2 linked regions of the Xenopus tropicalis genome follow. The protein of the gene in region 1 purifies or fractionates together with the protein of each later gene. This does not show direct contact. Links are inferred from orthologs where the notes say so. Each region holds a gene or a part of one and is shown in the gene's direction. Other genes may lie near its edges. The genes, in order: iqgap3 and cdc42.

Evidence for each region.
Region 2: the proteins of iqgap3 (region 1) and cdc42 purify together in Homo sapiens (affinity purification with mass spectrometry; 4 studies listed by BioGRID and IntAct, with this or other methods). This does not show direct contact. The link is inferred for Xenopus tropicalis from reciprocal best matches to the Homo sapiens genes IQGAP3 and CDC42.

What each region holds. Positions count from the first base shown.
Region 1 is NC_030684.2:133,159,836-133,163,655, reverse strand, and holds part of iqgap3 (ras GTPase-activating-like protein IQGAP3), read left to right. Parts: coding exon 1-56; intron 57-136; coding exon 137-363; intron 364-986; coding exon 987-1,119; intron 1,120-1,373; coding exon 1,374-1,476; intron 1,477-2,644; coding exon 2,645-2,792; intron 2,793-2,958; coding exon 2,959-3,046; intron 3,047-3,555; coding exon 3,556-3,768; intron 3,769-3,820.
Region 2 is NC_030683.2:94,443,574-94,448,011, reverse strand, and holds the start of cdc42 (cell division control protein 42 homolog), read left to right. Parts: upstream 1-1,625; 5' UTR 1,626-1,769; intron 1,770-1,778; exon of another isoform or gene 1,779-1,869; intron 1,870-4,438. UniProt on the Homo sapiens protein: Plasma membrane-associated small GTPase which cycles between an active GTP-bound and an inactive GDP-bound state. In active state binds to a variety of effector proteins to regulate cellular responses. Involved in epithelial cell polarization processes.

The sequences.
Region 1 (3,820 bases):
TGAAAAACTCCCTGAGCCAAAAATTCCCCAGTGCCCAAGAGCATGATATCCATAAGGTAATATGATCAACCCCTGTAGCTTCCTATTTCCCTACTGACTGGGTCATCACTACTAGAACTGCTGCTTTCTGCCCTAGATTGTAGGCAACTTGCTGTATTACCGTTTTATGAACCCGGCTGTGGTAGCCCCAGATGCCTTCGATATCATTGATCTCTCCGCTGGGGGGACACTTCACCCGGATCAGCGCCGTACGCTCGGCTCCATTGCTAAAGTTCTCCAACACGCCGCTGCCAACAAAATGTTTGAGGATTCTCATCTCGGCCTCCTCAACCAGTATCTAGAGGAGACGTACTGGAAGTTCAGGTCTGTGTTTCCATTTCATTCCCTGATATGTCAGGTTCTGCTTTACTAACCAGTCAAGAAAAGGAGCTTAAAGGGGGAGATCACCTTTAAACTAACAAGCAGCTTTCCAGTTTAGAATTTCAGCAACTATTTGGTTGCTAGGATCTTGTTTACCTTAGCAACCAAGCAGTGTTTTAAATGAGAGACTGCAATATGATTAGGAGAGGGCCTGAATAAAAAGTAACAATAACAATAAACCTGTAGCTCACAGAGAAATAGATTTTGGCTGCCAGGGTCAGTGACCCCCCCCCCCAATTTGAAAGCTGGTGAGATGTAGAAGACGAAAGAAAATAATTCAAAAAGTTATAAAAATAAATTAATGAAGACTAATTACAAAGTTGCTAGAAGTAGGACATTCTATAATATATTAAAGTTAACTTTAAACCACCCCTTTAACTGGATATATCTGCAGGCTAATAGGTGCAAAGTTTGCTCCACATGTGGCAACCAATCATATGTTAGTATTTATAATTCACCTGTTTAACACTTAGTATCTGTTATAGCATTATACCTCTATATATACCCAGCCAGCATGCATTGGTCTTATTGTACAGGTAATAAAGGCTTTATTTTATTGGTTACAGGAAGTTTATCCGCACTGCATGTACCGTGCCAGAGCCAGAAGAAAGGTTTAACATAGACGAGTACTCCGAGATGGTGAACATGACCAAGCCAGTCATTTACATCACTGTCGGGGAGCTGATCGATACACACAAGGTGAGGAAGCCTTTAGTTCCCCAGGTATATACACAAGGGAGGCTGCTGTTCTCTCATAATGTAATTGAGGGTAGATTGTAAGCTCTTTTGGGCAGGGCCCTCTTCACCTCTTGTATCGGTTACTGATTGCTTTATATGTTACTCTGTATGTCCAATGTATGTAACCCACTTATTGTACAGCGCTGCGGGATATGTTGGCGCTTTATAAATAAATGTTAATGTAGTGTAATGTAAAACCTTCTTGTTGTTTTTAGCTGTTGGTAGAACACCAGGATTCAATCGCTCCTGACCACAAGGATCCAATCCATGAGCTTCTGGAGGATATTGGGGAGGTGCCTACAGTCCAATCTCTAATTGGTATGAGACCATTTCCACATTATTGGTTACAACAAGGGCTACTAAACCCTACAGATGTCTTGTTGGGTTGTGCTTAGTACAGTGGGATACCTATACAGGTACGGGATCAGTTATCCGGAAACCCGTTATCCAAGTTCTGAAATACAGAAAGGCCATCTCCAATAGACTACATTATAAGCAAATAATGTAATTAAATACATTTTTTTAAAATGATTTCCTTTTTCTTTGTAATAATAAAACAGTACCTGTACTTGATCCCAACTAAGATATAATTACCCCTTATTGGGGCAGAACAGCCCTATTGGGTTTATTTCATGGTTAAATGATTCCCTTTTCTCTGTAATAATAAAACAGTACCTGTACTTGATCCCAGCTAAGATATAATTACCCCTTATTGGGGCAGAACAGCCCTATTGGGTTTATTTCATGGTTAAATGATTCCCTTTTCTCTGTAATAATAAAACAGTACCTGTACTTGATCCCAACTAAGATATAATTACCCCTTATTGGGGGCAGAACAGCCCTATTGGGTTTATTTAATGGTTAAATGATTCCCTTTTCTCTGTAATAATAAAACAGTACCTGTACTTGATCTCAACTAAGATATAGTTTAATGCTTTTTGGAGGTAAAACAATCCTATTAGGTTTATTTTATCTTTAAATTACGGAAAGATCTCTTATACGTAAAACCCCAGGTCCCGAGCATTCTGTATAAAAGGTCCCATACCTGTACTGGCATAGATATAGGAAATCTCTCTGTGCAGGCTGTAAGCAAATCTCAGCTGGTCATATAGTATCTATAGCTATATTACTTGTATGAGGGGCAGTTTTTCGTCTCACATATACACAGTGATGTTAGATTATGGCTACAGAGACAGTTTCTAATTGAGCTTACACAGGGGGATTACACATTTGAAAGGCTATGATACCTAATAACTAAAGTCCCTATCACATTCACGCTCACTACGGTAGGTTTTAGCAGGAGCAATTTAAACTGCCTCTGTGTGTGGGAGGAAAGCAGAGGTACCCAAAGGAAACCCACACAAGCATGGGGAGAGTATACAGACTTCCTGCATAGTGGAAGCAAAGACAGGATCCCAGTGCTGCCATTCAGTCTTAGCCAGCATTTACCTTGCATTACAGTAACCTGTGGGTGATTTGCTTCCAGGTGAAAGTACCTCAAACCTCAGCGATGTCGGCTCAGAACAAGCTCTGGCTCCGCTAAGGAAGCTGGAGATGTCTCTCACTCTCACCAACAAGTTTGACATGATGGAAAGCAATGCTGAAGCAATGGACACTCAAGGACTGTTACTGAGGTGAGAAGTGCATGCCTTGGGCATCTGTCCCTTTGTGCACCAATAGATTATTTCATATATCCAGAACTATAGAAATAGGATAGAGGATGCTGGGAGTTGAACCCTGGTAAGCGTCGTTGTTCTGCATTGCCTAAATACTCATTCGCTCTGTTTTCATCCGCTGCAGCACAAAGCACTTGCTGGTAGATGTTATCCAGACACAGCCTGGGGATACCCTAGCAGAACTTCTGTACACTTCCGCTTCTGCCCAGCAGGTGGGTAAATAGCTGCTTCTGACTAATCAAATGGGATCCAATCAGATCACAGAAGAAATGATAGTAGTGAGCAGGGTTTCCCTTTTCCTTTTTCCTAGTCATTGTTAGAAATGAACCTTCTATATTGGCCACTAAATGATGCAGTGTCATTGGAGGTAATGGTACAAAATGTCTGATGCCTACAACATTTTTTTTGTAATGACATATATAAACCCAACCCAGCCAATTAGCAGAGCTATATATTATAAACATAAATTATTCTCTAAATGAGATGTGGGTTCAGTGGGGATGCCCATGTGACGTCTTGTAACATGTTCCAGTGGGTGCATCTTAGGTGCATCAAATCCTGCTCAGTACAGCCCCAAACCTATCGCAGGGCCTGCCTCTTATCTGGAACATACCAGGTAATTTCTAAGGGATGCCCCCCCATAAAGCTTTGCTCCAGTGCAGTTTACTTGTGTGTGTAAGAACATTACAAACAATGAATAGTGAATCTGGGTTTTGATTAGGAAGCGTCACATCTCTACTTGATGAATCAACGAGCCAGACGAGAAGCCAAGACCCCAGAAAAAATGAAGCGCCATCGGTCGCTGCTGGGCAACAGCCAACTTACCATAGAGGAGAAGAAACGCAGGATTATCCGGAACCTGAGGAGGCTGGAAAGCCTGGGGCTGGTGTCCTCTGATAATGAGTATCAGGAGATTATCAACATGATCGCTAAGGTATACATATCCTGCTAGGGTATATTTGGTTGCTTAATCCCTCCAGCAGAAA
Region 2 (4,438 bases), on another chromosome or scaffold:
GTTTGTTTGTACTTTGCTATTACCTAATAAGTTTGCCAGGCTATAGAAACGTCAGAAATTAGCTCTCTTTCAGTCAAGACTCCAGTTCCCACAATGCCTTCTACCCTTCCATTATTCTCCTTTTTGTGTTAGGGCTCTGGCACACGGGGAGATTAGTCGCCCGCGACAAATCTCCCTGTTTGCGGGAGACTAATCTCCCCGAATTGCCATCCCACCGGCGAAAATATAAGACGCCGGTGGGATGGCACACGCTGCGCAGGCGATTTCGGCAAATCGCCGAAGTTGCCTCGCGAGGCATTTTCGCCGATTTGCCGAAATCGTGCCACTGCGTGTACCATCCCACCGGCGACTTACATTTTCGCCAGTGGGATGGCAATTTGGGGAGATTAGTCGCCCGCGACAAATCTCCCTGTTCGCGGGCGACTAATCTCCCCAAATTGCCATCCCACCGGCGAAAAAGATTTCACTAACCTCCCCGTGTGCCAGAGCCCTTAGGGTGAAGACACATTGCTAATAAACGCCAGAAAATACCCTGCCATAGACAATACTGACAATTGCCTCTGCTAAAACACACATAGAGACAGTTATTAATAAATTATCAGCATTTTCTACTTGTGTAGCCACAACAAGTAGCTGCTACTAGTAGCTCCTGTGTCTTCACCCTTAGGGCTCTGGCACACGGGGAGATTAGAAAATGCCTCGAGAGGCAACTTCGCGATTTGCCGAAATCGCCTGCGTGACAAGGGAGATTTGTCGCGGGCGACTAATCTCACCGTGTGCCAGAGCCCTTTATCACAGAACTTGCAAGGCATTTGGGAAGTGAAGTCTTGGTTGGAGGAGAGCTGACTACTGATACAATGTGACAATGGCATGAGCAGATAAGAAAAGCAAAGGCCAGACAGGAACTGATTTCAAAAAATTATATATTACATTGCAATGCGTCAATAAAAACCACCTTGGAGCTAATACAAACTTGAATTTCTGGCTAAAGATAAAAGCTATGATTGTACCTATTAGGTGAGGTTGATATTTTTGTTTTCTAGTCATGTACGCCACATAAAAGCTGAATATGCGCTCAGTACCTGTCCTAGAACTACAACTCCCACAAGCTACTGCTGACAAGCTCAATTCTCACTGACTCGGTTTTTTACGTCCTGTAAATCCTTTGTACCTTGAGTCTCGCTGTCTTTCGCTTCAGGCCAACACTCTGCAAGGAGCCCTCTACCACCACTTCTTTCTGTATTGTAAGACTGTCACTGTCACCATTTAACCCAAACTTCCCCAAATCTGAGCCCACCTAAATATCGTCACTTCAAATGTGTTTTACTTTGCTCATACGGAAGTCACCTGACCGGATATCATGAGTTTGCGGCAGACATTTCACAATACGGGCAAATCACGCCCAGGTTTTTATTTTTAGATTGAAAATGCGAACGACAAATAAAAAACCTTGAACGATTTGAATTAGTACCCGCTCCCCCAGTCTATGTTCTTGAAGCAGTGCGCAAAAAAATTCTGTGGTGCTGTGTAAAATCACCTTTGTATTCGGTACAGCAGCAGGACCAAAGCCCTCAATAAAGATGGCCACAAACCAGTTCTGCTTATTCTTCCCTTGTCAACCTGCAGCAATTCTTCGCCGCATTGTGCAATGACGTCACCACTCCAGAGCGTCGTGACATCATTACGTATACTGACCCCTGCCTGTAAGCCTAGGAAACCCTGCGAGTAGCTGCCAACGCCCGGTGGAGAGAAGGGGAGAGGCTGAGCGGGTAAGTGGGGGGAATCTTTCCGAGCGCTGGCTGTTTGGGGGGAACATTATCCTCACTCGGGGGCAGTGTATGGCTGGAGTGGAACTGTTCGCAACGCGAGGTATATAGGGGAGCGCAGGGGCAGGGAATTGCTGTGTGGCCTCTGTAACAAGGAACGGGGAGCGGCCCGGTACCGCATCCTGTCGGGCTATCTGGTATATGGGGGGTCGCGCCCCTGGGTACAGTTGCGGGCTGCTTGTGCAGGGTAACTCAGTGGGGTTAATTGCGTGAGTTTGACATGTTTGGGTAAACCGGGACTGTATTGGCTGTGTGCGCTGGAATTTGGGGACTGGACATGGTAGGTGAGGCTTATTCTCATTAGCTGTGCTTTCTTTTACTTGGGTCTATCCGCCCGAACGCTCAAGCATTCGGTGAGTCTGCCAGGGATGCTGGGAGTTGTAGTGGGGCTTTAGGTTAAGATCGCTTCGTTACTTGCCCCTCGGGACCCTAAAACAGCAAATTTGGGAGGGGGCGCTTTAAGATCAGCTGTGTTACCGATAGATCGGCGGATGGTGGTGGTTTTTGGGGGGAGCAGGGAGGAAATACTGCAGGGAGGAGGCTGCTGCTGGGGGAGGGTAGGAGGGAGAGGCTGGTTCTGTACACTAAGCTGTCAGCCAGCATCAAGGCCTTTTAGAAACCAGGAAAGAATTTGTAGATTTTGGCTCCTCGGCTAAAATAACCCGTAGTTTGGTGGAGGATGCCGGAACGTCGCGATCATAACTGCTGGAGGGCCGGCCACTTGTGATGTCCATCCCCATTGGCTGTACGGGTTCTGCTCATTCTTCCTCTAATCAATATACTTTGCAAGTTCTATTGGGATTCTGGAAGGCCTTTGATGTTTGCTCTGTAGTGGCCCCTACAGCATTTTTGCCCATGCCTGTAGCTTCCAGGTCTCCAAGGGTACTGAAAGGAAGGTAGAGAGCAGACACTGGGCATTTTCTAACAGCCTTTTGGGGGTGGGGGGGGTTAGAAAACATATAAAAAAAAACTATTTGTATACCTGATTAGCATCCTTATCCAAAATTGGTGTTAGGCGTGGGCATAGAGAGTACTGATAGAGATTATAAAAGTTATGGAGTTTGTTACAGGCAGGCTGCAATACAGTTGCTGTTTTGCTCCCCTGTGAGCACTTAGGGAATTGGTCCCCAAACAGTGATTTGTGATCATCTTGTTCTCCTCCTCTTTTTATAGTGCGCCAAACAGCTTCATAGTGGGCACTCATTGGGTCCCAGGTAGATGCGGTTTGGCAACCCCAGAAAGTTCTTTTTTTCATGCTTTCTGGTTTTGCAATATTTTCTATGTGAATGCTGTGCCTATCCGCTCTGTTGGAATATGGGTTGAATTTTGGCTGGAAAACATGCAACTGCACATTCAGGCCAAAATAAACCCCATGTGGGTACTGACTTGCAGTGTGGTGCCTTTCATTGCTGCTGGAACATGAGGCACAAGGTGTGATGTTACCCTTATGGTGACCTCACTGAGGAATTGTGATACCCTTTGTCAGAAGGAGAAAGTGGCTGTTAGTAGCCAACTAAATTATCTAAAGACCTGCAGCTATGAAAGTGCCCAATCTGCCATTAACCCCTAAGTCAAAAGTAGAGGCAGCACATACTTGGCAGAGATTTCATTTGTGATAGAACATCTCCATGCAGATAAATAAATTGTGAAGATGGCAGTGCCTGCTGCTGCTAAGATCCATTTCTTTGGCCCTGCCACTGCAACTGTGAATCTGAAGCAACTTAATCGGGCCACACCTGGGGGAGCTGCATTGGGTATATCTCACTAGCTTTTGGCATGACAGCAGTCTTACTGTAGGGTTTTGTTTTTGGGTAACGGGGAGGGTTGAAGCATTTAACTTAACAGCTGGAAGATATATTGCCAATTTTAATGCTTGCACTAAGGAATGTTTCCTGGTATTCATGTTACTATTTCTGTTTCCTTTGTGGCAAATAACAAACCCATTCTTGCTTTATGGAAGGGACACTAGATATACAGATATACCTGTCACTATCAGAACCACTGTCACACAAGACAAAGCAGGATCAATGAGCCTTTATTTCAATGGCTCATTAACATTTACTTCACTGCTGCTTGGAATCCCTGTGGCTGATTTAGCAAGAGATAAGGAAGAGTATAAGTAGGTTCAGCTGAGGGGAAAGCAAATTGATGGGTGAAGTTTCCTTGCTTACTCTGACCTCATAGTCGTCATCCTGAGAGAACTTTAGGTGTAAGTTCTTCTGTACTGCTCTGCACTCTCGGTTGCCAGTATAATAGATGGATTTTGTATGCTTGTCTCAACAAAGCTATTCATTGGGCGGACCTGTGATTTAGAAGAAAATAAGTGTGTCACTTCCTGAGACGGTGTTTGATATTGCATTACCATCAAAAACTTTAATCACATTCTTCTTTTTTTGCTAATGGATCCTGGTAAAGCAGGGCCAAAACGACATTCTGTCAAATTCTCCTAGGGCAGTGGAACTTACTCAGGGAGATTTTAAGCTGAGTTGGTGCCATTGAATGCAAAATGTCTGCTGTTTTCATAATGACAAATAAGAAGGTGGGCATATATCAGTCATACTTAACTGGGAAATCTGTATCTGCATTTCCTAAGTAAAACTCATTGAAGCTTG